Stegostoma tigrinum: one gene and its partner. The protein of the gene in region 1 purifies or fractionates together with the protein of each later gene. This does not show direct contact. Links are inferred from orthologs where the notes say so. Each region holds a gene or a part of one and is shown in the gene's direction. Other genes may lie near its edges. The genes, in order: sbf2 and mtmr1b.

Region 1 (15,805 bases):
ATTTTGAGTCTCAATGACTCTTCATTGGAGCTGAAGTGAAATGTGGAGGGGGAAGCATTTATGCAGTAATAGGGGTGGTGGTGTTGGAGTGCTGGGTCAAAAGGATGTTGATAGTTCAGATTAAGTTTTTGGAATGTGAGAAAGGCAGAACAATGGTGTGTCTAGCTGTGAGACTGGAAGAAACAGACAGTCCCACTAAGGTAGAGGAAGGGGAGAGAGGGTGACAGAGAACGTAACAAACAAAGCTAAAAGAAAGGGAAGGAATGGATCCACAATTTGAACTCAATATTGAGTTCAGAAAGTTGTAAAGTGCCAAGTTTGAAGATGTTGCTCCTCCAGTTTGCGCTGTGATTCACTGTAGCATTGCAGCATGCTGAAGAAGACAAGTGGGCATGTGAGCAGGACGCTGTGTTAAAATGACCAAGTACAGGAAGGTTTGGATCATGCGTGCGCAAAAACCGGAGGTGTTCTGCAAAGCAGTTACTCAGTCTGCATTTAGTTTCTCCAATGTGGAGTAGGCCACTTTGGGTGCAATGAACACAATACACAAGGTTGGAAGAGGTTTAGGTGAAATGCTACTTCGCCTGGAAAGAGGTTTTAGGTCCTTGTTTAACAAGGAGGGGGCAAAGGGCAGGTGTTGCACTTGTGGTTAAATGGGAAAGTGCTGTATGAAGGGGAGGAGTGACGTTTGTGGTCGATGATTGGATCAGAGATCACTAACACCAACCCCTCTTCCCATAACACCTACTCACGTAGGTGCAACATCTGCCCCTTCGCTCCTTCCCTGCTCACCATCCAAGGGCCTAAAACATCTTTCCAGCAGGATTTCACCTGAATGTCCTCCAATCTTCTGTGTTGTATTTGTGTTCACAAAGTGTAGTCCACGATCAGTAATGCAAAGTTCCTTGGCAAGACTTTTGGATTGTCATGTTAAATCTGCAAGCTACACCTCAAGGCCTCAACGTTTTACCTTCTACTGCGGCTTTATTGATTGGAAGGTCCTTGATTTGTTAAACATGTTGTTTCAAGAACAAATTTTAACATCTTGTTAAACATCTGTTAAAGTGTTGTTTTAAGGTCTAAATATATGTTTAACAATTGTTCAGATTGTTGCACAAACTTGGTTGTACTGCTTTCTTGCTTCTGCCTGTGATTGGTGTAAGGGTGAGAACAATTTTGGCTTGGACAGTATTGTGTGGTTTCACAGGAATCACAACTTATGGATATGGCCAAGTCCTAAACACAAGATTTTCTTAAACCTATCGATTAATGAGGGCTTCCAGGGAAATAGTTATTCAACAATTTTCTTGTTGGGGTCATTTTTTTGCTGTATCTTAACACATTTTGTTCATTTACTACCTACACCATCTAATTTGTGGCCTTATTCTAGCCCAGTTCTTCCAACCACAGTTCCCAAAACAACTTGCCAGTCATCAGATATCCACTGAAAGACAGGCTTCTGTGCTGCCCACACTATCTTTAAAAGGCTCTGTGCACCTGAAGCAATGTTGGCAGTCTGGTGTTGCCCTTCACCAGCAGCCACAAAGCCATAGCTGACAGCACAAAGATGGCATGGTTGACATTCCCTCATATATACAATCCTGTTTAGCTACTAGGCTACACAATTTAGCTGTTCTTAGCTACATCTGTCTCAACGCCCTCTCTAGATCACTGCTAAACTGTCCTCAATGCCCACTGTAAGCCTGGATTTTGTCATAGTTCATTACATGAACACCACATACTGGCAAACAATCAGACAATTCCAAAACAAGGTTTTATTTAAAATCAATAAGAGCTAACACAAACAAAATGAACAGAGACTGCAGTTCATCTCCACAATGCAAACAAAATACTGCCATGATGATGAATGACTATTTTGCATTCCATCTAGCGCTCATTGAGTAGAAAAATAATTAATCAGTTCCTGCCTGCCTTGAACTACCCGATGTAGCTGACCACTGTCATGTACAAGGACAGATTCCACCTCTGCAGTGTGCTTGTCCTCAGTAAAGTGCTCCCACATCTCCGTAATGAGCACATTGTCTCATTGCCTGGTCCAATTGTGCAAAGCACAGCACGCTCGGAAGATATGGCACACTTTGTCAGCACAGTGGAGATTACATCCACCCGTGCCTGTTACACACACACTTGTGATATGGTCCTTTCAGTGCAATGTGCCGCACAGTCAATGCCAAAGTGATCTGGGGGATGCCAGTTACATTTCTGAATCCTTCTAGCTAGGCTGCAGCACCGATCTTGTAATTGAGAAACTAAATGAACTGGTTTGATCTTGCAAAGATGGCCTCAGCCATTGTCCTCAAGTATTTGTGGGTGCATGAGAGATCTCAAATAGGTTTCTCATTGCTCCCTGAAAGGGGCCAGTGGCATAGAAGTTCAACATAGTTGTCACATTAACAGGGTGAACTGGGAAAGATGGCCTCCAACAGTTGGAGCCCTCGAGTCCTGCTCTGGAATCCTGCATTGTTCCATCACAGTGTCCTGGGACATAGAAGCTTGTGTTGGTGCTGCATCTTGGTTATCCGCAAGAAAAGGGGTGAAAAATCCCTCCTGTAAACCCAACGCATCCTAGGGGCACAGTAGCTGCAACTGTGCCTGTACAAGATGCTCCTCCATGGTGCTCTGCTGCTGCTCGTGGAGTTTCTGTGAGCCTTGCTCCTTCTGTATCAGCCTTCAGCTCCTTGGAAAGCAGCCACAGTGATCAACATCCCACCTGTAGCTGGGCATATGACTCTTGCTGGCAATGACCTGCATTGGAAACATACAGAGCAAAACAGGTTCTTAGCTCTGAGATAATCAGTGGCGGCATAGATGATGGTTGCATACACCTCTCCACATAGCGCGACATGCAGCACCCCAAGAACCAGGCCTGTGTCTCAATAATTCATTCAGCATGTGCACCAACTTGGCGATGGTGCTGCGTAAGTTCAGTGACCAACACGGAGGCGATGGCCTAGTGGTATTATTACTGGACTGTTTATCCAGAGACCTGGATAATGTTCTGTGAAGCTGGGTTCAAATTCTGCCTTGGCAGATGGTGAAATTTGAATTTAATAAATATCTGGAATTAGGAATCTAATGATGACTATGAATCCATTGTCAATTGTCAGGAAAAACCCACCTGGTTCGCTAATGCCCTTTAGGGAAGGAAACTGCCATCCTTACCTGGTCTGGCTTACATGTCACTCCAGACCCACAGCAATGTGGTTGACTCTGAAATTCCCTCTGGGCAATTAGGAAGGGGCAATAAATGCTGCCTAGCCAGTGACATTCCTCATCCCGTGAATGAATCAAAAAAACACATTATACACTCAAATGGAGTGCTGGCTGCACTTCTTCTCATCCCAGACCCACATCAATCAGGAAACTTATTGCATTCAGTACAGCCCACCATTACAGACGATTAAGCAATTGTCTCCACCTCTCACAGCACCTTGCAAGTTTCACAAGTTATAGGACACTTTTGGCTAATATTCACTTCTTTTTAAGCCAATTTTGACCTCACTGAGATAGCAATGTTCAATTTACAACAACTAAATGGCAAGGTGTAAATTACCTTCAATCAACATTTGAACCCTCAACATGACAACTCTGCAGGTGTTGCAAATGGACAATGAAATGTCTGAAAATGAAATATAGCTTCAGTTTGCAAATACATGCTTCATGTATTTGCACCTTCAAGGTCCAGTGTCCAGCAGATTCTGATCCAATGCTTTCCCCATAAAATTAACATTGACTCTGCCCACCCTGGGTAATGTCCCAGGCATTTTCCAGTGCAGTTAGTGATAGGCCACTGGAGTCTAAACAGAAGGGGCCTTCATCTTCATCAAATGCTTACTGCATTTATAACAACAAGTACAGTTTATATTTTCTGCCAGGTAGAATTGTTAAGAACACTTAAGAATCAAATAGAGTACATCCACTCCCTTTGAGTTCTGGTGCAGAATTCAACAGCCTCTACCAAAGCCTGTGTGATGTCATCAGACCAGGTGGTGTTCAATGTAACATGAACATTAACTCTTTCTTAATCATTACCTCATACTAAATCTGACCTCAAGATTTTCTTCCCATTGCTAGCCATTGTGCACTAATATTTCTAAATTTATTACCAGTCCATCTTCTCTCAAGTCTCTGACTTCACCAATGCAGGCGGTCTGGGCAGATCACAATTTTGTCAGGATATAGTCTGCTCAGATTTGGAAGAATGGTTGATCTTCTGCCTGAGCTTGACCTTAATACTAGCCTGTGGATAATTTCTCCTCTGTAGAATATTTTACCTCCTGGATATCCTTTCTAGAGGAGATCATTTCTTGGTGATTCACACACATGCTCCTTATCTGTTGGGGGAACAGGTTAGTGGCTGTGGGAGTCGTCAGATAGCTGATTTGGCTGGATAGTTGGTTTGGAATGCTGAGTGACTCATCAGTGTGGGTTCAATTTCTACACCATGCTTTCTCAACCTTGCCCCTCACCTGAAGAATGGTGACCCTCAGGGTAAATTGCCCACAAGTTATTTCTCTCTAAGTCAGCAGCCCTGTAGGATATGGTGACCTTCCCATATCCTGTCTGGAAGGCTTTTAATCTCCTGCAATCACTTTACAGATAAACCTCTCCTTGATAACTCAGCTAGGTGCTCCCTAACTTCATCCAAGGGACCCTTAATTTTGTGATTGCCCATCATGGAAGCCAGCTGCTTTGTTGAAACAAATATTTTATTTCTTATAGTATCCTGGATTACTGGAACTGTGATAGCTTTGTGATTGGAAAATATTTTTTATCTTTGCAGTATTCTGGATACTTAAGCCAGACAATTTCTTTTGACAATGTCCTGAATTATAGATATTGGCCTGGCAGACGCGGAATTTTATCATGCAACTATAATGTGCAACTTATCCCTCTCAATTTGTTGAACGATTGGATGTCTTCAATCACCCTCTCTCGTTGGTTGAGTGAAAAAGTAAACTTTTTGACATTTTCAGTTGTTCTTGAAATCTCACTGTATTAGAAGACAGAGGAATGAATATTTCTACTACTGCCCACCTGCAGAGCATTTGGCTTTCTCTCTATTAACAGTATGAAATAATTCTCTTAAGCTAATTTAAGTAATCTTTTTGGATTCTTTCATCTATTTGGCTTCTGCCATGCATCTAAGAAACTTCTACTGATTGCACATTGACTGGCTGCTCAGCCACAGTATTGTTTCCTGGAGCAGTGTTTTGACACTGTTATTTCCAAGCCATTTGATCTCTGTGAGGTTGTCAGTCTCCTTGAACTCTTCTAATGAAATTGAGATTGACACATTATTGCCTGTTAGTATGTGAAGATTTTTGATTGCTGTTGCTTATACATTTTAAAACTTCTTATGTGCAGTACATTGCAGTGTGACCTGTAATATTCTTACAATCCTGACAGTGATTTCAATGATGCCAGGTAGTTTCATTTCTGTGGGCTGTAACTTCAGCTTCTTCAACCCCAGTAACTGGTCTAACAGGATGGCATCACACACTCCTGACAAAAATAATAAATCCTGAAGGACTGGTGAGAAAAATGATCAATTAAAGAAAAAATTTACAATCACTCAAAATGAGTTTTGTGGAAAAAAATCTGATATTTGGTGGAGACAGTGGCTACTTGCATCGAAGAAAACTTGGACAATCAAAGAGTCCTAATAAACTAAGTCAGTGAATGTGAGGGAAAAAAAAACTTTTCACCAGCTAAAGTCATACATTGCTGAAGATTGTAGTTGTTACAATCCATTCATTTCAGCTCCAAGACATAGCTGCAGGAATTCCACATTGAGGGCGGCATGGTGGCTCAGTGGTTAGCACTGCTGCCTCACAAGGTTCAATTCCACCCTCGGGTGACTGTCTGTGTGCAGTTTGCACATTCTCCCAGTGTCTGTGTGAGTTTCCTCCAGGTGCTCTTCTTTCCTCCCACAATCCAAAAATGTGCAGGTTAGGTGGATTGGCCATGCTAATTTGCCCGTAGTGTTCAGGCATGTGTAGATTAGGTGGATGGGTCTGGGTGGGATACGCTGAGTGTCAGTGTGGACTTGTTGGACCGAAGGGTCTGTTTCCACACTGTAGGTGTTCTATGCTAAATCCAATTATCCTCACTGTTACAATAATGACATTCCAGATATCTTAAGGTCAGAAGTAGGGATGTTTTTATAAAGTCAATTTCACTTGTAACTCCTCAGATAATGCAGTCATGCCTGCATATAGCAAGGTCTGGACAACATTCAGGTTGGACTGGTAGATGGCAAGAAAAATTCATTTCATACAGGTGCCATTCAATAGCGTCACCATTGTTGAATTCCCCATGATCAAAATCCTGAGCTCAACTTTGGCCAGAAACTTAAAAACTGTACCTGCTACACACATTCTGTTGGGACAAAAGCGTACCAGGCTAAGTATTTTGTGCCAAGTGATTTACCCTGCAAACCTTATGCCTTCCAGAGGCATATCAAACATATGATGCAATCATTTCTACCTGTGTGGGTCTCCTTAACACCCAACAGGCATGCAACCATTCCATGATAAATAAGTCTGTTTGATCTGCAAACAACCCAACATGGCGAATATTAATTCCCTCCACCCCTGGTATATCAGGCTCTACAAGGTGCACTGCAGCAAATCACCAAGGTTTTTTTCAGAGTATGTCTCCCAAACTTGCAGTCTTCACCACCAAGCGGAACAAAGGCAGCTGGTTCATAGGAATGCCAGCACATCTAAATCACAGAAATTCTGTCATGAAAAAAATCATTACTCCTTTACTAACACTGGTCAAAATGTGGGATGTCCTCCCTAAAGCACTGTAGATGTATCCTCATCAAGTCAACTGCAGCAGGTCAAGAAGGCTGTAATAAAATCTGGCCTTACCTGTGGTGCTCATATTTCATGAATTGATAGTGAAAATGCTTTTAATAACCAAATGTTTTAGAGACATTTTAAAGTCGTTACATATTTTAGAATAATGTTATTGAAGTTTTTGAGTGAAATGTGATTAGTCTTTGGAGACTTTATTACTTCCTAGCCTTAGCAGAATCAAAATGTAATGGGTCAACTGGATATTGTTGCCCTCATGCAGTTGGAGGATTACCAACATATTTGTGTATTCTAAGAGCGTGGACCCTGGTGAATTTCCCAGAATGCATCAGTTGATTTCTGAATTAAAGCAGTGAAGTGTTTGATGTTATTCTGCAAGAATTTGAGTTTCCTTCAATTAATCAAAAGACTTTGAGACAAACTAGCAATACAATTCTCAAAGCTTTGTTCCAACCATGTCTGAGAATGAAAAATTATGAATGCTCTTTTTTATTAGTACTAGTCAATTAATTACTGAGAGTAACAAAACTGTAATTTCTTTGTTGACAGCTTGGAAACGAGAAAAATTATGTTATATCTTTATTTGAAATTATAAGGTTGAAAGAGATTGTCTCTATTGTCTCAAGTATTTGCAACCCGTTGGGAAATGAACTCAAAGTAGTAGAATTTTCTGTATTGACTACAATACCTGTTAATCATGGTATGCCTCTTTAGATTAATTGAAAATTTTATTTTAAAACATACTTACTTTGGAACAATTTTTTGGGACTTTAAAAAAAATCTAGACATGGAAATTGCATATTAAAATAAAACCCAGCCTGTTCCCTAACCTCCCAAACCTTTACTAAATTATCCTTCAATATTGATACAGTTTCTGCCTCCATTGAGGATATCTAAAGAGAACTGTGTTGTTATTTGAAGGGAAAATGTTGCTGAGTTATAGGGAAAATGCACATCAGTAGGACTAGATGAGTTGCTCTTGTAGAAAGTGAAGCATGAACACACTGGGCTGAATGGTCTCCCTACTTGCTGCAATTATTTTATGATTCTAATGGAAGTGAAATCCAGAGTATCTCTGCAAATTGTCTACTTCTATAAATCTTATTCCACTGTTTCACAGTACTAATTATATTGTCCTGAATTGTTCTAAATCAAAAGATACAGATTTCAGTCCTTTTATTTATTTGCATATCCTCATATTAGCAATGTGCTGAACTCTCTGAAGCCTGAATATCCTACAAGACTGTAAACACTATTGTCACTGATGACTTAACATTTTCTCAACGTTTGTCACTGTCCCACAGATTTTACCTTTGATATCACTGCAAGCCTCTTGCACAAACTCTTTTATGTACATCTGTGCTCACTTTTTGGGTACTCGTAATGATTCTGACACATCCGACCCCTGACAGTCAGTATGCAACTATCTGCTGCTTAAATTGTAGAACGCAATGGAAGACCAAATGCAAATACCGAAAATATGAAAACAGGAAATGTTGTAGATGCGTAGTTCACCCAACAGTTGCAGACAGAACAGACGGTCCGACTGTTTCTAATATTGACCCTTATTCAGAAGTGATGAAGGACTACACGGGAATTATTTATCCTTCCCACGGATTCTGTCCTCAAACATTCCAGCATTTTTTGTTTCTGTTCCTTCAGTTGTTGAATTGAACTATATCCTTCTCTCTTGCAGAATATTCGCAGCATACTAGCCGACTACCGTAGAATGCAACTATGCTCGGATTCGTATCAATTTACCTGTTGGTTTTAAGCCACAATTTTTGATTTTATTGTTTTCCGTTTCTTCGATTTGCAGTGTTTGATTTTATTGAAAATCACAAATTTGACACTATTATTCTGGTTGCAGTCTTTCCAAGACTGTCAGCTTGAATGTTTCGAATTGCATTGCTCCAATCACTTTAAGCTGTTGATTCTGTTGCTCGACCTGGAGCTATATATAACGAAGCATTTCAAGTTGCAGCAATAACGAGGATAACAAGCGTGTATCACCTCGTCAGGTTGCGTCCCATCCCTCGAATGGGAAAGAGAGAGAAACACTCTGTGGTGATCTGAACACTTCTGGAAATGGAACAGTAAATGTGCATCCCAAAACCCTGGTTTCCAGAAGCGACTTGACTTGATAAGAATGCTGCTGGCTGACCTGGCTTTAATTGTTCCGACTCCTCGCGGCTCGGATTGCTTTCCCCGTCCTTACTTCTCCCGACTCCAATTGTTCCCCCAGCACCACTTATCCTCCGCGAGCTTGCACAGCCAGTGAAGCCAGGCCGCCGCCCAATCAGGGTCAGGCCTGTCAGCGCACGCGTATTGTCTTCTCGGGGGGGGGGGGGGGAGCGATTTCAACATGGCTGAGCTTTACCAGTATGAAAAATGTTGAGTTTCTCTGTTTCGAACCTTGAATTCACGAAAAATGGCGAGATTGGCCGATTACTTTGTGGTTGTTGGTTACGACCCTGAAAAGACGGGTGAGTTTTTACTAAAACAAGCTCAAAATTTTACAAGACGTCGTTAGATGTGTGGCCATTTCATTTGGTCTGAGGAGAGTCCTGTTAGGCCGTGAGTGCCTGCCAGAGCAGCTGAGTTGTTCCGGTGGGACAAGGGTGGAAACTTAACTGCTTTGTTATTTAATTATAAGATGGTGATATGACTAATGTGAGCTGGTCTGGCCTGTTAAGGTCTTTTCTGCAAGTTAGTTTAGTTTTTGTGTAGTCTGATAACTGAATCTTTCAAAATAATAAAGGAGAACAAATCTGTTGTCGTATTTGGAGTGACGAATGATTGGCGTGCGGAATGACTGGAGAGTTTAACACATGTTCTTGTAAGTACGGCGGTAGCCTTGAGTTGCAGTTATTTTTCCTGTGTTACTGCTACCGAACATTTCCAGTGAAGTGCTTTGATGTTAGTAGTACATATGTCTATAGTTAAAAAGACACAAATGAATTAGCAGAGGAAAAAGTAATACATTAAAAAGGAAATCTCAAGTTTGCGACTTATGTTCTTCAAGGAATGCAATAGCAACTTGGCATCTCATTTGTAACGTCCAAATAACCTGCCCTCATGAAGTATACGAAACCAAAGGAGCTGTGTCAGTATTTTACAGACATCCAAAGAATATGGCCAGCTGCTGAAACTCCAGACTGACATGGCCATCCTCTTTGACCACAGCAACCACTTGCTAGACCAGTTTTTACAAAGCTTATACGCAATCTCTTGCCATGATATATAATGTAAATGCCTAAAATAGTATTTTATCCATACAGATAATGCTTTTGTCCTGTCTTGATTTGTTTGAAATATTACATTTTTACACTTTGGCACTGCCCTTTGGACAGAATTCACACCATGTAACCTTTGTTTTAGAAACAGATATTGGTGTTGTATGGTCTGTCAATATCTGAAAGAGGAAAAGGAACAAAAAATAGGATATTTCAGTACATATGAATACCTTCAGATTTTAGGCATTCATGATTGCAGAATCACAATTATTAGAGTGCAGAAGGATGCTGTCTGAACCAGCTCTGGATGAAATGATAGGAGATTGACGCCAAGTCATAAGCATGGTGATTTTGTTTTTGGAGGTGGGACCAAATGTAATATTTCCAAATTTGCGTGTGATGTAAAGCTCAGTGAGACTGTGAGGGACATGTAGAAGAGGATTTTTGATGAAACTTAATGAATGGGAAGGTCGCGGTAGATGGAGCATAATGTGGGATAATGTAAGGCATGATATGACAGTGCCAGTTTCGACTGTTGTGGGCAAAGTCAGAAGTCACAGGTTACCAGGTTATAATCCAACAGGTTTATTTGAAAAGCTGAGCTTTTGGAGTGCCATTTTCTTATCTGTACTGACATTTGAAGGAATTTTAAGCTCCTTTTTTGGTAAAAGGATATCATTGACTGACCATGGCACTTTTTGTTTAGTCTGTTTGAAAAAAGCCAAGTATGTATTTATGTGTACAGTTAGCTGATAATGTAGAATATGGATTACGAGTTAATTGAGACAAATGATAGGGAGCTAAGATCAGAATTAGAATTGAGGTACAGATGAACTACGAATAAAGTAGAAGGATGGAATCGATTTGAGGAACTGAATGGCCTACTTTCTAAATTTGTTTTTATTATGAGTGCCTAAAATCATACCCATAATCAACACTTTGTTAATACCCACTTTTTAAGTAACAATGCACTTGTCAATCTCTTACCATTAAAAGCTCACAATATCTGAAAATATTGAGTGGTACTATTTGCATTGCTTTTAAAAACTTTTTTCTCTTGGAGGACATTGGTACATTTACTGTCCATTTCTAGTTGTCCCTTGAGCATTTCGCTACTGAGTGGCTAATGAAGTAAGCATAAAGAGTATTAGAAGTCAATCATGTGGAGTGAGTGACAGTTACTTAGAGACCCTACAGTTTCTCCTCTTCAGGGCACAATGCAAACAACTTTATTTCACTATGATTCTATTATGTTACGAAGGCCAGCTGTGTGCACTACTACAGTTTTAATTCTGTGATTGCAAAAATAAATGCTGCAAGGCAAATAAATTACCATTGTAATACATAATTGTGTACTTTGAAACATATGTCCAGAAATTGTGACAAACTTGTTTTAATTCCAGATTTTGTTTGTGTTTGGGAGGTTTAGGATATTTTTGTATAGACCTGACTGCAAAATAAAAGTATCTGTTTATGTAATCGAGAAGATACATGTTGTAGTCGCATGGTGCACCATCCAGTGCCTGTCTTTCTTCAGAAAGTTAATGTTCTTTTATGAATTTAATTGCCTCCCTGCTGTTTATATGGGCTATTCTTAAGAATCAAAATGTTAATTGAGAATGGTTTTGCTGTTATTCTATGATTCCTGGAATTACATAGAACAGTACAGTGCACAACAGGCCCATCGGCCCTCGCTGTTGCGCCAACCTGTGAGCTAATCTAAGCCCGTGCCCTACACTATCCCAGTTAATATTTTTGTTTAACGTAAGTACATAAAATTCTAATTTTACAGATTAGAAAAACTCAGTTTAGAATCTGTATAATGATTTTCTGAAACTCACTGGATTACCTAAACATTTTATTCTGACATTGTATATGTTTCTTCTGAACTCTAATGAGTAGAATTGAGAGCAAACAAGTGCTACCCTCCTGATGTTTTCGGTGCATGCCAAAATACATGGACTATTTGCTCCTGGACATGTTGAAGACTGCAGCTACAAGGCCAAAGAGCCCCAGAAAGAGAGAGAGAGAGAAAGAGAAAAGAAAGGCCAGAGATCCCTCCTATTAACAGCCCCTGATAAAGATGTATGTGGCAATGTAATGTATTTAAAGTTTGCCTGTATTCATATTCATACAAATTTGCGGGGTCAATGAAGGAGCACAGAAGCCATAAAACTTGATATTTCTTATGAGTGGTCAAGGCCATTGCTGATTGTTTCCTTGTATTGTTCGCCATTCATGTTCTTCAAATTTCAATTTTCTTTTATTTAATGTATTTTTTTTTAATCACCCTATTCAGATGTATTAGCACCTCTGGAGCAAGTTGAACTTGTACGCAAGCACCCTGGTCCAGGGGTACAACTAGGTGACAAGAAGGTGCTTTGACTGTATTGTAATCCAGAGCAGGGGGTGGAGTTGCATGAAGCCACTGACGGCTGTCTTTTCAAACAATTAAAAGGGTGATGATTTGTATTTGGGTCTAGGATCATGGTGTATTATTTTCTATTTATCATTCGGTTTACTATGATAAAATACAGTTTGACATTCAAGGAGGAAATAGTAAGAGAACAGGGCAAACCTATTTTCAGTAAAGACAAGGATGGGGTTAAGGGACACAATGCTTAGGATTAATGAAAAATGACAAGCTTTTGCGGTGCTTCTCCTTCGGGTGACTTCAAAACAGAAATCTTGTGATTTCAAATAAATCTGGACTGTAACCTGATGTCATTGACTTCTGACTTTGTCCACCCCCGTCCAACACTAGCATCTCCACATTAAGAAAACGCATGAAACTTACGGCAGATACCAAGTGGAAGAGTCTCTGGAGGAGTATAAAAAGTGCATGGGAGACCTTTAAAAGTGAGATCAAGAAAGTTCAGGTATTTAGAATAAAAGAAAATCTCAAGGATTTCCAAAAAATAATAAAAAGCAAGAAAATAAGCCCATTAAATACCACAGAAGTTTTCCTTTTGGAAGATGAATACTTTGCAGCAGTATTCCCAATGGAAAAAGATGACTCCAGTATAGACATCAGGTTGGAGGACAGTGAAATATCAGAAGAAATTGAAGTTGATAGAAAGAAGGGGGTTTAACAGTCTTAAAAGTAGGGATATGTCTGCAGATCTGTATGAAATGTATCCCAAGCTATTGAGGGATGCAGGGGATGTGGTTTTTGGGACTCTGGCAGTAATTTTCAAATCTTCTCTGAGCATAGGTGAGGTGTTTGAGGACTGAAGAACTGCTAAGTTGTCCCATTACCTCTTCCTTGTTTTTAGTAGACCAGGAAATGATCAGTTTAACCTTGGTGGTGAGGCAGTTACAAGAGTTGAGGGACAGAATATATCTGCTCTCAGCGAGACATTGATGAATGAGCATAGATTTACGAAAGGAAGATTTTGTTTGTCAGTTTTGAATTTTGATGAAGTAACCAGGAGTGTTAATGAGGGTAATGCATTTAAAGTAATCTATATGACTTCGTTAATTTAAGAATGCATGGAGTCCAAGACAGGGTGGCGTGTTGGATCCAAAATTGGTTGAGCTACAGGAATTACAGGGTAAGGGAAGAGAAATACTTCTGTGATTGAAGGTTTATTTCCAGTGAGGCTCCTCAAGGCTTGGTGCTAGGGTCCTTGATTTTTGTGTAGGTTCATCATTAGGTGGTAGACATAGTAGGTATGGACCAAGAAGTTTGTTGAAGGGATGAAAGTTAGGAGAGTGATTAATACTGAGGAGAGCAGCTGTAAATGTCAAGAAGATATCGATGGACTGATCGGCTGTGCAGAGCAGTAGCAAATAGAATTCAGTCTGGAAAAGTGAGATAGTGATATCCCTTGCATTATGAATGGCAGAACCCAGGGAAACACTGAAGATCAGAGGGATCTTGGTGTGTGTATCCACAGATTCCTGTGGGTAGCAGGGCAGGTAAAAATGTGGTTAAGGTATGTGGAATACTAGCCTCTCTGGTCACTGCCTTTATAGTAGTGAGGACTGGAGAAGTGCTAACATTGTCTTGTTTATTTAAAAAAATAAGGGAGGAAGGGACAGACCAAAAAATAACAGACCAGTCAGTTTAACCTCAATGATGGGACAGTTATTAGAATTCTGAGAGATACCGTATTGTCTGCATTTGTTGAGATTTACCAGGATGTTGCCAATGTTGGAGGGTCCTTGGAGCAGTGAAGGTTGAGGGCACTTAATGGAGGTGTATAAGGTTTTTTTATAAAGGGAATAAATGGGGTGGAGTGAAAAGCACCTTTTTCCATTAATATGAAACCAGGGGCGTAGGTTTAAGGTAAGAGGTAGAAGGCTAATGGGAGAGTTGAGAAATCTTTTTGCAGATGACGATGAGAGTCTGGAGCTCAATGCTTGAAAAGATGGCTGAGCTAGAAACTCTTGCAGCATTTACATGTTTGCTTGCACTGCCGTAGCTTGTCTGGCTATGAGCCCAGTGCTGAAAGTTGGTTAGTGCAGTCAGATCTTTGACTGTTCTGGATGTAATGGGGTGAATGGCTTCCTTTTGTGATGTGAATGTCTGAATAGTGGAGTTTACAGAAATGACTAACATGATTTGTCAAATATGTTTTAACCAGTTTGTGATGTAAGAGAAATTTTCATTTCTTCAAAGTGATGAATGAACGTATAGTTCTTTGATCTTTTGTTTTAGTGTAGATTAATTTACTCTAGCTATTTATGTATTTTAAGATAATCATAGGTGGCTTTAAGAGTTCATATCAGAAGCAATGCAGTGTTCAAAACAGTAGTTGGCATACAGCTGTTATAACCTAAAAGAAAATGTTTGAGAGGTTTTCTTGCTCTCTTATGACTTGCCTACAAGTCACTTTCCACAAAGCTCTGGCTGTACCTGTGGCAGTCACCTTGTGTGGAGCAGAAAGGTTGCAGTAAATAAAATAACATTAACACAACAAATGACTGAAGTATGCAGATGTTAATGATTTTAACATTTGAAATAATTTGGGGTGGGTAGACCATAAATATACAGAAAATTGATACTGATACTCTGTAAAGATCAACTTGTACACTAAACTTGCTCCACACCATAATTGTGCAATCATCAAGCCTCAACGAATCTAAACCTCACTGTGTTTTTCTTTGCTATCTGCTCCCACTCAAAAATGCATTAATCTCCAGGAATAAATTAGAAAGGGCGAATAAAATATGTTCCTGATGGGAAACTTTCACAAGTTAGCTGAACCTAGACTGAGCTATATGAACACTTGCCGACCACATGAACAAGTCGCAAGAGTCACTTGGCTCTTTGAGTCTGCTCCACTATTCATTCAGATCATGATATTAACCTCAACTCTACATTTTTGTATAGTTCTGAAAATCTTTCATCCCCATAGTAATCAAGAATCTGCCTCTGCCTTAAATTTAAAGATTCTGCATTCCACAGCGTTTGAGGAAGGGAATTCAAGAACACTTGATCATTGGCAGAAAAAGTGTTTCCTCATCTGTTTTAAATGGGTGCCCCCTTTATTTTTAAATAATAACTCTTGTGGGAAAATGACAACAAGTGGAAATACTGTTTCCATGTTCATCTGGTCAGGTCTCCCTCAGGATCTTGTGTTTCAATTAGGCCGCCTCTGTGCCTCAAACTCCAGAGGATATGGGCCTAAGCTAGCGAATCTTTCCTCATGCTACAATCTGTACATTCCAGATATTAGTCAAGTAAACTTTATCTGAACTGCTTATGACACACAACAT
Region 2 (15,990 bases), on another chromosome or scaffold:
GCCCATGTGCTGGAGGTTGACCCACACCCCTAAGGAGGGAACTTCAGGATTTTGACTCAGTGACACTGGCAATATATTTCCTAGACAGGCTGGTGAGTGACTTGGAGGGGAACTCAAAACATTTGTGTTCTCACGTATCTGCTGGAAGTGGTCATGTATTTGGATGGTGCTGTCTAAGGAACCTTGGTGAATTTCTGCAGTGCCCCTTGTGGATGTTTGTGCTGCTGCTACTGTCAGTGATTTGGGGATGGGGTGGGTGGGGGTGGTGGAGAATGCATGAAATGCCAATCCTGCAATTGTCTTGTTCTGGATGGTATCGTGAATCTTAAATGCCTTTGGATCTTCCATTACTCATTGAACACCCACATCCCATTAACGTCCAGAGAGACATACCTGGTAAGGACAGCAGATTTCCTCCTGGGTTTTTGAGATGATCAGTGGCAACTGTACGGTCACCATTAGGCCTGCTGTCTATCCTGGATTTTATTGAATTCACATTTCACCATCTTCCATGGTGGAATTCAAACCCATGTCCTCAGAGGCTCCAGATTGCTAATCTAGCGACATGACCACTATGCTGCCACCATTTCCCCTTGCTGCTCTGATCCAGCCACGTGGGGATTGTTCGCTTATGCCCTTTAAATGCTGGACAGACTTTGAGGTGACTAGATAAATTACTGGCTGCACGGTTTCTAGCCTATTGACCTGCTCATAACAACAGCGTTTATATAGCTAGTTCAGTTCGGTTCAGTTTCTGGTCAATGGTAACCCCCAGCATGTTGACAATGGGGGTTTCAGTGATGGTATTGCCATTTAATATCAAACACAATGGTTTGATTCTGTCGGAGATGGTCATTGCTCGTCAATTGCATGGCCTGGATGTTGTTTACCACTTGTCACAACCTGGAATATTGTCCAAGAAACACTACTGCGGATGCTGAAGACCTAAAACAAAACAAACAGCTGGAGAAACTCAACCAGTCTGACAGCATCTGTGGAGTGAAAACAGAGTCAGCATTTCAGGTCTGGTGACCCTTCTTTACTCAACCTGAAATATTGCGTAAACATTCCACTTCTGACCTTTATAATGGAGAGAAAATCATTGAGGAAACCACTTAACAGCCAAGTAATTTCTTTGAATTGAGGTAATTGACCTGCAACAACACAAGCATTGTCCAATGTTCTAGGTATGACTCCAGCCAGCAAAAACTCCCCCCTCCATTCCCATTGACTCCAGTTATGCTAGGGTCCCTTAATCATATACTACTATTTGATAGAATAGCTGTAACCTTATATTGATCATGAAATTTAATGAAGCCTGTATTGTACATTGTCCTGTATCCATCGCTTCTGATCCTGCAATTGTAGTGCAGGGGGTACTTGGTGTGGAGTTGAATGACTGAGGGACAGATACTTGATTGTGAGGAGCTACTGGAAATCTAATCTTGCCTGTGATGTCTAAATAATTCTTCAGGTAATGAGGTAATGGCCTAGTGGTATTACTACCAGACTATTAACCCAGAGACCCAGGTAATGGTCTGGGGACCTAGGTTTCCAGAAAAACCCATCTGATTCACTGAAGTCCAGGAGGGAAGGAAATCTGTCATCCTTACCTGGTCTGGCCTACATGTGACTTCAGACCCACAGAAATGTGGTTGACTCTCAACTGTGCTTTGGGCAATTAGATAAATTACTGGCTGCACAGTTTCTAGCCTATTGACCTGCTCATAACAACAGCGTTTATATGGCTAGCCCAGTTTGGTTCCATTTCTGAATTAGGGATAGGCAATAAATACTGGCTTATCCAGTGCAGTCCATGTCCCGTGAATGAATTTTTTTAATCAAAGGACCCACCTTCAGACAGTCATAGCATGATGTGTAGAATATGTATCACTCTATACCTGTACAAAATAAGATTAAATCTGATATTTCCAGACTTTTAAAAAAGTGTACAACATGAAACTAATGCTTGCAAAATCTACTGTATATTTCCTATGCATTACAACAGTGTGCCCCAGTCTCCAAATGAATCCATTAGTAATCATTGGGAGATAACAGCTGACCTCAGTGACAATGGAGAATGATGTTTTCTGATAATAGAACTATGGCTACACAGGGAAGATAGGAGTGTGCTTAACTGGTTTCTTCACTATTGAATAACCAGGTAACATTGTATACACTGTGACATGAAAACTTTGCAACAACCACACTTCAATAGAGAAATTGTCTCAGTCGTTTGCTGAGATGAAAGGAAAGTTGACTCTCAGCCAAGGAAAGAGCTATTAATTGAAGAAAGTGGACAGAAGTGGCAGGCACTGACTAGTGGGCACACCCAGAATCAGTGCTTAGGCTCCAGCTTTCATGGCCACATGTAAATGATCTGGATGAGGGAACCAAATCCAACATTTTATGATGATACAACACTGGGCAGGATGAGTTGTGAGGAGAAGATGATTTAGATGAGACAAATGAGTGGGCAAACACATTGCAGTACAACCTTGCTAAATTTGAAGTTATTCACTTCCATGTGAACAAAAGAAGCGTTATGTGAATGGTGAGATATATTGGGAAATGAGGACTTGCAAAGGGACCTGGGTGTCCTTGTATGCTAGTCAATGAAAGACAGGTAGGTAAAGTGGGCAATTAAGAAAGCAAATAGTATGTTAGCTTTCATTGCAAGAGGATTTGACTTCAGAAGCGGAGATGTCTTACTCCAGTGAGACCACATCTGAAGTAATGTGTACAGTTTTAGTCTGCCTAACCAAGAAGGGGTACACTTGCCTTCGAGAGAGTGCAGTGAAAGTTCATGAGGCTGAGGCTGAAAAGTGATAGCATTGTCCTATCAGGAGAGAAAGGTTTGAGTGTGCCTCTATTGACTAGACTTTAGAAGGCCGAGATCTGTTTGAAAGATATAAAATTCTAACCGGGCTGGTCAGACTTGATGCAGGAATGATTTTTTTTTCCCCCCCTGGTCAATGAGTTTAGAACCAGAGCCAGTGTCTCAGGATAAGGGGAGGTCATTTAGGACTGAGTTGAGGAAAATACTTTTCCATTGAAAAGGTAAAGAACCTGTGGAAGGTGTGGAGGCCATGTCACTGAACATGTTTGAGAAAGGGAGAGATAAATGTTAAGATTTTAAAGTGTCAAGGGGTATGGAGGAAAAATAGGAATACAGCATTGAGATAGAGGATCAGCCATCATCATGTTGAATGCCTAGTCCTGCGTTCTAATTTTCTATGTTTAAGACTGGCCACGGGAGGAAGCAACGGGGTTCAGGACATAAATCTCAAACCATGAACTATGGACAATTAATACAATGACAATCAATGATGGGCAAAGGATGGGGATACACAAAACTGTTTGGGTTGTAAACATTCACCATGCATGATGGAGTCACAGAACTAGGGCATGCTATAAGATTGCAAAATCCCACAATGCCCCTGCACAATGCTAGCAGCTTTGGGAGTTGCAAATATGTTGTGTTGAGGCCATGTTCATTGGAAGCATTTGGGATGCTTCCAGTGGATTTGTTTCCATGAATCCTCCCTGGTATTAGTCCAAGTTACTGATACCAATTGGAGAAGGATGCCCACACACAGTTGGCAGCAGAAAATAGACTTCATCTTAATAAACTATTAGGCTAATTACATTACATTTGAGGAACATCAGTGTCTTTTCTAAGATCAGAAATCTCAACATCAATCCAACAGGTTTATTTGAAAGCACAAGCTTTTGGAGCATAGCCCCTTTGTCAAGTGAAGTGAAGAGCTCGAGGTAACCTGGTGTCATGTGATTTCTGACCTTGTCCACCCCAGTCTAACACTGGCACTTCCACATCATTTTCTAAGAACCCAGTCTGTACTTAAGAATATATACACATAATTTCCACTGAAACGTTCTTGTCCACAACTTAAACGTGACCGAACAGTTTGAACACTGGTTGGCCGCTCCCAGGAACAGTCCTTAGTATTCTGGTGGGTGAAGCTTATCTCATGGTATCAGTTAACACTTTTGGGTACGAACTGTCTTATACAACAAGACCAAGCGAGGGAAAAGAATTTTATATTTAAAAATGAAAATTATACATCTGAAGCATGAAAGCTTCGGGAGCCATTGAGCCTTAGCAGGGCTACAGGGTAGCTAATATACTTTGTAATAGACCATTCGTTTTTATATTCACTCAAGGAAAGTGGCCATTGCTAGCTGGAACAGCATTTATTGGGCATCCCTAATTACTCTTGAACTCAGTGATTTGCTGGCCCATTTCAGAGGGCAATCAAAACTGAAAGAACTGCGGATGCTGTAAATCGGAAATAAAAACAGAATTTGCTGGAAGCTTAGCCAGTCTGGCAGTCAACTATGAAGATAAAATCAGAGTTAACATTTTGGGTCTGGTGACCCTTCCTCAGTTCTGGGCAATCAACCTGCCTTCCCTAAACTTCCTGGTAATACATTCCACACTCTAACAATTTGCTGTATGAACAAGTTTTGTTTTCTCATATTACTCTTGATTCCTTTGCACAGCAATTTAAATCTATGTCCTACTGTTATTGTTCCTTTGATGAGTGCTGGGGTGAAAATCTGCCATCATCTGCCTGATCTGGTCTACATCTGACTCCAGCTTGACAGCAACATGGTTGACTCTTGATAAACATTTTTCATGAATTCTTTATTTGCATATCGTTGTGTAAGATCAAGAGGGTATAAAGCCAGTTTTGTATCCAATTGGTTAGCTCCCCCTGTATTCCATGCGATCTAATCTTGCTAACCAGTCTACCATGTGGAACCTTGTCAAAGGCCTTACTAAAGTCCATATAGAGAATGCCACCATTCTGACTTGATCAGTTTTCTTTGATGCTTCTTCAAAAAACTTAATCACGTTAGTGACACATGATTTCCCACACACAAAGCCATGTTGACTTTTCCTAATCAGTCCTTGCCTTTCCATGTGTGTGTAACTGTCCCTCAGAATCCCCTCTAACATCTTGCCCACCACTGACATTAAGCTCACTGGTCTATAGTTCCTTGGCTTTTCCTTACAGCTTTTCTTAAAGAATGGCACCACATTAGCCAACCTTCAGATGTCCAATACCTCACGTGTGGTTGTTGACAATACAAATATCTCATCAAGGGGCCCAGCAATCACTTCCCTAGCTTCCCACAACATTCTGTGATACACCTGATCAAGTCCCGGGGATTTATCTAACTTCATTTTAAGATGTTCAGCACCTCCCCTTCTGTAATATGGACACCTTTCAAGATATCACTACTTATTCCTGGAACCATTCTGGTGAATCACCTTTGCACTCTGCCCTACGCATGCACATTTTTCTTATAACCTGGTGCCTGCAACTGTACATAATATTCCATCTGAGGTCAAACAAGTATCCTGTATAAGTTCAACATGCCCTTCCTGTTCTTATATGCCCTTAATAATAAAGCATGAATACTGTATGCTACAATTACTGCTGTCTTCACCCGTGCTTTGAGTTATAAAGAAAGGCTAGATGGGCTGCAACCTTACTGGAATGTAGGAGGTTGAGAGGTGACCTGATAATAGTTTATAAAATAATGAGGGGTAAAGATAGGGTTAATGGTAATTGTCTTTCCACCAGGGTGTGGGATTTGAAGACTGGGGAGCACATTTTGTAACGTGAGAGGGGAGCTGAAACCTCCCATACCTAGCAACATCCTGGTAAATCTCTTCTGAACCTTCACCAGTTTAATAATATCCTGCCTGTAACTGGTCAACCAGAACTAGATACAGTACTCCAGGAGCGTCCTGTACAACCTTAACATGACTTCTCACTTCTATTCTCAAAGGGCTGAACAATGAAGGCAAGCGTGTCAAACGCCTTTTTAACCACCCTGTCTATAGGTGATGCAAACTTTGAAGAATTATGCACCTGACTGCCAGGTCCCTCTTCTACAACACTACCCAAAACCCTACCATTAACTGTGTAAGCCCTACCATGGTTTGTTGTATCAAAATGCAATACCTCACATTTACCAGATTGAGCTCCATCTGCTGTTTTTCAGCCAATTGACCCATTTTGCCTGAGGGTGGAATTGAACACAAATCTCTGGCTTTGTGGGGTAACAATACTAATGACTGAACCACTTTGCAATCCCTAAAGTATTGTGTTCAATAGTCAAATTGTGCTGTTTAATATATAATGCTTGTATTGCTAATTGTGCATCACCCACAACAAATATACACAAATCACCATGATGTTGACAATGAAATGTAAATATTCATTTAATTTTAATTTTGCATTTAGAAGTCTCCTTAAATCCAAGATAACTTGCTGCTTCCAAAGCCAGTACACTACATAAGACATGAGTCAGGAGTGTGATGGAACAATTTCCATTTGACTGAATGGGGCAGCTCCAACAGCACTGAAGAAATTCCAAGCCATCTCGTCCACTTGATTAGCACCATATTCACCACATTCTACATCCACCCTCTCCATCACCGACATAGTGGCAGCATCGTGTATCAATTGTAAGATGCACTGCAGCACCACCCCAAGACTGCTTTGATATCAGTTTCCAAATCTGTGAGCTCTACCGCATTGGACAAAGACAGCAGATATATAGAAGCACCAGCATGTGCAATTCCCCTGCAAGCCACACTCCAGCCTGACTTGGGAATTATATGATCACCTCTTCATTGTCACTGGTTCAAAATCTTGAAACTTGACTTCCTAACAGGGTAGGTGTACCTGAACAACATGCATTACAGCTGAGCAAGAAAATGCCGACCAACCTCTCAAGGGCAATTAGGGATGGGTAACAATGCAAGTAATGTTACATTCCATGGGAGAATTTGAAACATCTCAGTTTGTATAAACATGCTTTTTACTTGCTGCCATACTATTTCTAATTCCAACTCTTCTCGGTGGTTCAGAGTTTAATGGTAACAGACCGACTATTTACAATGGCTTACCATGTACTCTTATCATAGTAGCATATTTATGCATAATGAAATTGAAGTCTTTTTAAAACACAACACAGTAAGTCATGAAATTGAAACAATTAGTGCTCTGTAGTAAGTTATCAGCATTTGTCAGACATTTCAATGTGATGAGAAAATGCAGTTGTACAATTGGAACGTTTGCTAGAGCATGCTGCAAAACAATGTCCTGGGGTGCAACTGTAATGACTGTTAACTGAGCTGACAAAAACAACAGTCACTGGACTTATATTAAATATAAAATTACAGGAAATGTCTGCTTGGGAAAAGAGGAAAATTACCGGATGCATTTGTCTAGACAGCTGAATGTTAGTGTGCTTCATGTTTTTGTGTTAGAATATTATCTGGACATTAATTTTGTCAACGTGCAGGTCTTTATTACCCTTTGATGTTTATGACATGATCTAGTAGTATCTGATTTCAGTAAGTGAAATTTTGTGGTCCTTGTGTGGCTAATTGTTTCATTCAATTTCAGTTTTTTGGGCTATTTTCTTTATAATTTTTAAACTGGAGAAAAATGTAAAATATGCAATATTTTACGAATGTAATTTTAAGAAATTAGTTCAGGTATGTGAGTACAAAAAAATCTCCAGGATCTCTTTGTATCCAGCAATAGAAAAATCAGGACTGGGACGAAGCTGCTTTGTTTGTCCATCCCCTCCTCAGATTTGTTTGTGTTCTTTGCTTTCCTATTGAACAGCAAACTTGATTTGAAACCTTCACTGATTAATGGATAAGCCATCAAGAAAATGAGTTGGAAATGTTGGATAAGTTTAAATCAGAGTTAACATTTCGGGTCTGGCGATCCTTCCGCAGTTCACCGGACCCAAAACGTTAGCTCTTTTTTTTCACAGATGTGCTGCCAGACTCGCTGAGCTTTTCCGGCAACTTCTGTTTTTATTCCTGATTTACATCATCCACAGTTCTTTACGTTTTTAAAAGGCACTGTCAGGCACTGGTAGCTTATTTATTTGTGCTCTTCATCACTGCACACAATAGCAAAGAGTGCACCAGCTACAAAAATGTACTGCATTAACTTATTAAGGCTTCTAAGCATCATCTGAATCAGGACATGCACCACCTGCACAAGGGCTGCAGGTATGTAGGAGCAGCATCGCCTGAAAATCGCTCTTTAAGTCACACACCGTTTGGACATGACCATTTATTGTAGTCCTTTTACTGTTACTCAGTTACTGCCCAGTAACACCCTTCCTAACACTACTGTGGTTGTCCCTAAATCACTAGTACTGCAATAATTCATGAAATTAGCTTCTAATGGCCTCCTCACACACAGTTAGGGATGAGTATTAAATGCTGGGCCCAGACAGTGAAATTGAACTTTGAGAATGCTTTCTTGCACCTTGTGCATCAATCTAATGCATCTCCAGCCTTCCCAATGATTGACAGATGGCCATCCAGCTGCAGGGTTATCACTTAGTGATGGACGGCTGGCAACCTGCTGATTTTCAACGATCAGAAAGATTTAAAAACACTGATGGTGCCGGGAACATTGTCTTCTATTGATTGACTGTTGTCATTCTCAGGGAGTGACAGCTGTCAGCCTGTTGATTGGCAGCTATTGGTCCCAGGTGAATGACAGGTGTTGGTCCCAATGATTGACAGGTGTCAGTCCCAATGATTGACAGGTGTGGGTCCCGATGATTGACAGGTGTGGGTCCCGGTGATTGACAGGTGTCAGTCCTGGTGATTGACAGATGCATGTCCCAGTGATTGACAGGTGTCAGTTTCGGTGATTGACAGATGCATGTCCCGGGATTGATAGGTGTCAGTTTCGGTGATTGACAGATGCATGTCCCAGTGATTGAGAGGTGTCAGTTTCGGTGATTGACAGGTGCAAGTCCCGGTGATTGACAGGTGCATGTCCCAGTGATTAAGAGGTGTGAGTCCTGGTGATTGACAGGTGCATGTCCCAGTGATTGACAGGTGTCAGTTTTGGTGATTGACAGGTGCATGTCCCAGTGATTGACAGGTGTCAGTTTTGGTGATTGACAGATGCAAGTCCCGGTGATTGACAGGTGTCAGTTTCGGTGATTGACAGGTGCAAGTCCCAGTGATTGACAGGTGCAAGTCCCGGTGGTTGACAGGTGTATGTCCCGGTGGTTGACAGGTGCAAGTCCCGGTGGTTGACAGGTGTATGTCCCGGTGGTTGACAGGTGCATGTCCCGGTGATTGACAGGTGTCGGTCTCCTTGCGGCGCTGGCTGCAGCTGAACTCTGACTCTGCGCAGCTACAGGAAGAGGAAGCGCCGGAGTGAAGCTGTTACTGAGAGGATTTCCGAGGCCGAGCCTCTAACAAAAGGCGGCCGCCATGGACAGGCTGGGCACTTCCGAGAGCCTGGCCACAAAGAGGCCACCGCGCTTGGCCACTGGCTCCGGGCAAGCGAGCTTGGATTCACCGGAAAGGTAGCGGGTCCAGGCCTGGGACTGGGGCCAGCGGGTAGAGGGAGCCGCCCAGGCGCCTGTGGAGCACGACTTTCCCCGGCTCTGTTTGCATCGGGATCCCCGGGCACGGTGCATGGAGCCTGCGTTGGATCTGCAATGGGATCCCGGGTACAGTGAATGGACCCCGGGCTCAGTTTGTATTGGGATCCCAGCCACGGTGCGTGGAGGCCCGGTGGCTCTGCAATGGGATCCCGGGCGCGGAGTATAGAGCCCGGGCTCTGTTCGTATTGGGATCCCAACCACGGTGCATGGATCCCGGGCTCTGTTTGTGTTGGGATCCCAACCACGGTGCACGGATCCCGGGCTCTGTTTGTTTTGGGATCCCAACCACGGTGCACGGATCCCGGGCTCTGTTTGTTTTGGGATCCCAACCACGGTGCACGGATCCCGGGCTCTGTTCGTATTGGGATCCCATCCACGGTGCATGGATCCCGGGCTCTGTTTGTGTTGGGATCCCAACCACGGTGCACGGATCCCGGGCTCTGTTTGTGTTGGGAGCCCCGGCACGGTGCATGGAGTCCCGGCTGGGTTTGCATTGGGATCCCGGGCACGGTGCATGGAGTCCCGGTTGGGTTTGCACTGGGATGGGCTGCGCTGTTGGGAACAGGGACACAAGAGGCCGTGAATTCCAGGGAAAAGTGTAGAGAGCTCAGGCTGCAGGCTCGTCGGAAGGTGCATTTTGGGCCAGTGTCTTTTGAACTAATTGCCGTGTCGTCAATTCCTGGTTTTGGAATGTGAACACTTGTATATGAATGTTTTCACGTTAACCAGAAAACTGCATTAATTGCATTTTGAATGTTGCGCTAATCCAACTTATTACAAATGTTTTTCCTTCCTGGGTCTAATTATTTTCTGAACAGGCCGGTGATGTGGTAGAAATCATCCCATTCATGAAGCTGCTGAAAGAAATTGGTGAAGTTATGTGAAGTCGTGGTCCCGCAATGAGGGACAGTTTTACTTAAATGTAAACTATTTTTCCTATCAAGGTACCCACCAAAAAAAACGGCCTGCAGCTTTGAGCCGGTCTTCACGTAAATTAGGAACTGGAGCAGGGCATTCAGCCCCTCGGACCTTTTCCACCATTCAGTGAGACCACTGCTGATCTGTAACCTGACTCCACGTACCTGCCTTTGTCCCATATTCCTCAATACCCATTGCTTAAGAAAAACATTATCTATCTCAGATTTTAAATCTGACAACTGATCCATTGTCCTTTGCGTAAGAGAGAGTTATGCCTTTTGTGTGTCAAAGTGCTTCTAAACATTCTCACTTGAATAATCCAGCCTTAATTCTCAAACTATACTGTGTAGTCTTAGAATGCCCAACCAGTGCAAATAGTTTATGGTTATTTATGCTGGTTATTTATTCCTTATCTCATTGGCAGACTTGTAAATACAACTAATTATGGGCTGAAGATGACTGATTTCAGCAGTGATCATACAAGGAGACACAGCAGTTACGAACTTCATCCAGATCCAATGTAAAAATAGGAAAAAACAAAGCTGTTACATGCAGCCTGGCTGGTCGTCTTGAAGTCAAACAGAAACTGTCTTGTGTAGCTGAAGTCATGATCATGTATTGCAGACACCCTACATCATGCTGTGTGGCACTGCTGTCATGCAGAAGGGGATAGATTGCAAACAGATCTAGGAATTCAAGACTGGGCATCGGGTGTGCTATAGGCCATCAGCAGCGGCAGAATTTTACTTAAGCACAATCAACGACCCCTTGGTCCACCAGACTTCCCATTCCCAACATTATCATCAAGCCAGGCCACCACTCGCTCCACCGTCAATGCTCAGTAGTAGTAGTCTGCTGTATCTACAGAAATTCAGCAGCGATCCTCAGAAGGTTCTCTGGATCAGTTCCAGAGATGAAAGGCATGTTTTATGAAGAGAGATTGAACAGTTTAGGCCTATACTGTCTGCAGTTTAGACGAATGTGTGGAGATCATATTGAGGTATATAAGATGTTAAAAAGGATTGAGAAAGTAGATTTGGAAAGGATGCGTTATATGGGCCCATCTAGAATGAGGGGTCACAGTTTTAGGCTGAGGGGTAGCAGAAACATGTAGAAAGAAACTGCTTCTGTCAAAGTGAAGGTCTAGGCCCAAAACGTCAGCTTTTGTGCTCCTGAGATGCTGCTTGGCCTGCTGTGTTCATCCAGCTTCACACTTTGTTATCTCGGATTCTCCAGCATCTGCAGTTCCCATTATCTCTTCTGTCAAAGTGCCATGACTTTGGAATTTACTACCTCCAAGTGCATTAGATATCAGGACACCTCAACATATCTCCGCACATTCTTCTAAACTCCAGAGAATATAGACCTAAACTGTTCAATCTGGCTTCATAAAACTATTATTCACAGGACACTGAATAAATTTAAGGAAGAGATGGACAGATTTTTAATTAGTACGGGGTTGCAGGGTTATGGAGAGGGAGCAGAAAAGTGGAACTGAGGCCAAGATGAGATCGGCCACTATCGTATCAAACAGTGAAGCAGGCTTGAGGGGCTGAATGGCCTACCACTGCTCCTAGTTCCTATTGTCAAGTCTTTACTCAATGAAGAGTGCAGGAGGACAGGCATATCTAAAAATGAGATGTCACCTGGGGAAGCTACAGCACAGAACAAATTGCATGCCAAAAAATATAAGCAGCAAGTGAGATAAAGGGCTAAGCTGAATCCCTTACTATCAGCACCCTGGGGATTGAACATCCATTGAACAGAAACTGAACTGGACTCAGCACAGAAACACAGTGGCTGTAAGAGCAGGTCATAGACTAGGAATCCTGAAGCGAGTAACTTGCTTCCTAACTCCCCAAAGCATATCCTGCGATAGGCACAAGTCAGGAGTGTGATGGAATACTCCCCACTTGCCTGGATGGGTGCAGCTCCAACTACACTCAAGAAGCTTGACACCATGCAGGACAAAGCAGCCTGCTTGATTGGCACTGTACCCACAAGCACCCACCACTGGAGATCAGTAGCTATATCACCATTTCAGTCGGTCAAAATCTTGCAGCTCCCTCCCGAATGGCATTGTGGCCGTCCCTGTGCCACGTGAGCTGTAGCAGTGTGTACTATCTACAAGATGCACTGCAGAAATTCACTAAGCCTTCTTAGACAGCACTTTTCAAACCCAAGACCACTTCTATCTAGAAGGAAGAAGGCAGCAGATACATGGGAATAGAACCACCTGCAAGTTCCCCTCCAAACCACTCAACAACTGGCTTGGAGCTATATCACCATTTCAGTGGGTCAAAATCTTGCAGCTCCCTCCCGAATGGCATTGTGGCCGTCCCTGTGCCACGTGAGCTGTAGCAGTTCAAGGTTCACCACAATAATAAAGGTAATAAATGCTGGTGCAGTCTGTAACTTCTACACCTCTAAATTCATAACAAAAAAAGCTGAACTCTACCTTAAATCAGGCCCAATGGTAGAGGTAGATGAGATATAAAATCCTGAAGAGTTTTGACCGGGCTGATGTGGAGGACGTCAAGGGAGAAGCTAGAACTAGGAGTCACTGTTCAAAAGCCAGTGATAATCCACTTGAAACAGAGATTAAGTGATTTTTCTTTGTTCCTCTCTGAGGGTTGTGGGTCTCTGAACTTTCTTCTTGAAAAGGCTGTGGAATCAGAGTCCTTAAAATGTTGAAGGAGAGCTGGATGGATCCTTAATAAGCAAGGTGATCAAAAATTGTGACGATAGGCAAGCATATGAATTTGAAATTACAGTCTGATCAGCCAGCATCTTATTGAATGAAAGAGCAGGTTCGAGCATCTACACCTTCTCCTGCTCCTGATTTGTGTGTTTAGCTCGTTCACTGAAGCCTGTGTGATTTTCTGCCTCAGAATATGCTGGAGGATATTGTATAATTAGAAAACAGAGGTAGACAAACTCTCATTAGCCAGAGGAATCAAGTGTTCTTAGGGGTTTGTAGTGTGGGGATGTGGAATTCAAAACACAAACAGACCTGCCGTGATTTTACTGAATGGCCGAGCAGAATTCGAGGGGCTCTATGGTTTAATTCTGCTCCCGTTTCACATGTTCAAATGGCAGAGGTTGGAGATATGGCAATCGTGACATTTTTCTGGTCAGCCTGCAAATGGCAGAGAAATGTTGCAACGATATGAAGGGTAGTTTACAAGACTGGCTCCTTGAACCCCAACATCAGCATTATACCAGGCCCCTGTCTTAACCAGACTTGTCTACATGTCTGAGTGTTTCATAATGCTACAGGTAATGGTTGAATCCTCATCTTTCCGAGTGTCATATGGAGAGGGATTAACAGGACAGAACTACAGTTTGAGCACTTGCACTGTTTCAGAATTGGTGAAATGGAAGCCGTGTGCCTACAAGTTCTGCTCAGTGTTAAGAGAATGTGCGCATTGTTTCAAGAAAATATCCTGAATGTGTAGAATCTGAACAATTACCTTGCTGTTAGATTTTACTGAAATATGTTCAGCAACATTTAAGTGCATTACTAGGAAATTACTTCATACAAATGGAAGGACTCGTATGAAATAAATTTCTGGACCGAAGAGTTGAAATTTGCCCAGCCTTTGAACCCAGTTCGATGCTCATTAGAACATTGAACAGAGAACATTACAGCGCAGTACAGGCCCTTCGGCCCTCGATGTTGTGCTGACCTGTGAAACCAATCTGAACCCCATCTAACCTACACTATTCCATTATAATGAATTCCATTATCAATATGTTTATCCAATGACCATTTCAATGCCCTTAAAGTTGGCGAATCTACTACCGTTGCAGGCAGGGCATTCCACACCCTTACTACTCTCTGAGTAAAAAAAACCTACCTCTGACATCTGTCCTATATCTTTCACCCCTCAATTTAAAGCTATGCCCCCTCGTGCTAGCCATCTCCATTGAGGAAAAAGGCTCTCACTGTCCACCCTATCTAATCCTCTGATCATCTTGTATGTCTCTATTAAGTCACCTCTTAACCTTCTTCTCTCTAACGAAAACAGCCTCAAGTCCCTCAGCCTTTCCTCATAAGTAATCTCAATATTGTTTACAATGTAATTAATTTACAACTTGATGTACACAAAAGTGTGGGGTGCCATTTATTTTAAATGACTGGATCCAACTGACCAACACATCAGTGAGAAGATACACAGTGTGGAGCTGGAGGAACACAGCAGGTCAGGCAGCATCAGAGGAGCAGGAAAGCCGACGTTTCGGGTTGGGACCCTTCAGAAAAAGACCCGAAGCATCAGCTTTCCTGCTCCACTGATGCTGCCTGGCCTGCTGTGTTCATCCAGCTCCATGCTCTGTTATCTCTGATTCCAGCATCGGTAGTTCTTACTATCTCTGAGTGACAAGACACATCTTGATAAACTTTTGATATAACAAGGTGTGGAGCTGGATGAACACAGCAGGCCAGGCAGCATCAGAGGAGCAGGACTTGTACTAGTTCTCTTGCCTTGCAGTTATTCACAAATTTGGCAAACTTATTTTCTCTGTTTAACTACTTTACTTCTTCATGGGGTGTGGGCTTTGCTGGCTGGAGCTTCATTTATTGCCCTAAATGACCTTGAGAAAGTGGTAGTGAGTTGCCTTCCTGAACCACTACATTTGGTGTAAATACGTGCACAAAGTTGTCAGGGAGGGAGTTCCAGGATTTTGACCCAGTAACTGTGAAGACAGTGATGTGAATTTCCAAGTAAAGGTGGTGTGCTGACTTGAAGAGGAACTTGCAGCGGGTGGTGTTTCCATGTATCTGCTGCTCTTGTCCTTCTAAGAGGTAGAGGTTGTGGGTTTTGAGGTGCGAACGGACCAGTTGTCTTCTGTTTCCTGATAAATGCTGAGCTGGTTCCATTGAATGTTTTGTTGATGTGAAAATACACGACAGAATACATTTGCTAAAAGTCTGGGAGCAAAGACAAAAAAGCACGAGAGCAGGCAGCAGGTAAAGAAGGGTTAGAATTCCAGGTGAAGTCTTTGCCAAAACCTCACTGTTCTGATGAAAGACCCTTCCCAAAAATGTTAGCCTGTAGGTGCTGACTGACTGAACGATTGTATGTTAGTAGCATTTTCTGTGCTTTTGTTTCTGTTGGTGGCTGTCTAGTTGATTTGCTTTGTGAATCTGATCCTTGGTGACTAGAAGGGGAATGGGTTCAGACCCTGCAGGTTTTGTTCTGGCATGAGTATAAAAGATTTCCAGTGGGGAATCGAAAATAACCGTGAAGACCAGCGGAGTGGGGAAATACACGTGTCAGTTCACTGATCTTCTAAACTATCAACTATAAACTCCTGGGAATGAATATTTTGCACCTCCGATTTTAGATGATCTAATTTTTTGGAATCTGAGAAGTATTTCCGAGTGTTTGCGTTTTTCAGTGTTCATGATATATGTATATTACGCTGAGAATTTGACCAACTCAGGACTATCTTATTTGTTTAACATATGGCAATATGAGTTAATGTTATGACTATATGTTTAGTATCACATAAAGGCAGACATGTGGAATGGTGCAGGAGAGATTTATTCAGATAGTCTCAGGGTGAGGGACTGTAGCAACATGGAGA

What was found.
Region 2: the proteins of sbf2 (region 1) and mtmr1b purify together in Homo sapiens (affinity purification with mass spectrometry; 3 studies listed by BioGRID and IntAct, with this or other methods). This does not show direct contact. The link is inferred for Stegostoma tigrinum from reciprocal best matches to the Homo sapiens genes SBF2 and MTMR1.

The regions. Positions count from the first base shown.
Region 1 is NC_081370.1:26,315,947-26,331,751, forward strand, and holds the start of sbf2 (myotubularin-related protein 13), read left to right. Parts: upstream 1-9,199; 5' UTR 9,200-9,276; coding exon 9,277-9,331; intron 9,332-15,805. UniProt on the Homo sapiens protein: Guanine nucleotide exchange factor (GEF) which activates RAB21 and possibly RAB28. Promotes the exchange of GDP to GTP, converting inactive GDP-bound Rab proteins into their active GTP-bound form.
Region 2 is NC_081368.1:14,658,360-14,674,349, reverse strand, and holds the start of mtmr1b (myotubularin-related protein 1b), read left to right. Parts: upstream 1-9,222; 5' UTR 9,223-9,304; coding exon 9,305-9,399; intron 9,400-9,415; exon of another isoform or gene 9,416-9,511; coding exon of another isoform or gene 9,512-9,546; exon of another isoform or gene 9,547-9,595; intron 9,596-15,990. UniProt on the Homo sapiens protein: Lipid phosphatase that specifically dephosphorylates the D-3 position of phosphatidylinositol 3-phosphate, generating phosphatidylinositol. Could also dephosphorylate phosphatidylinositol 3,5-bisphosphate to produce phosphatidylinositol 5-phosphate.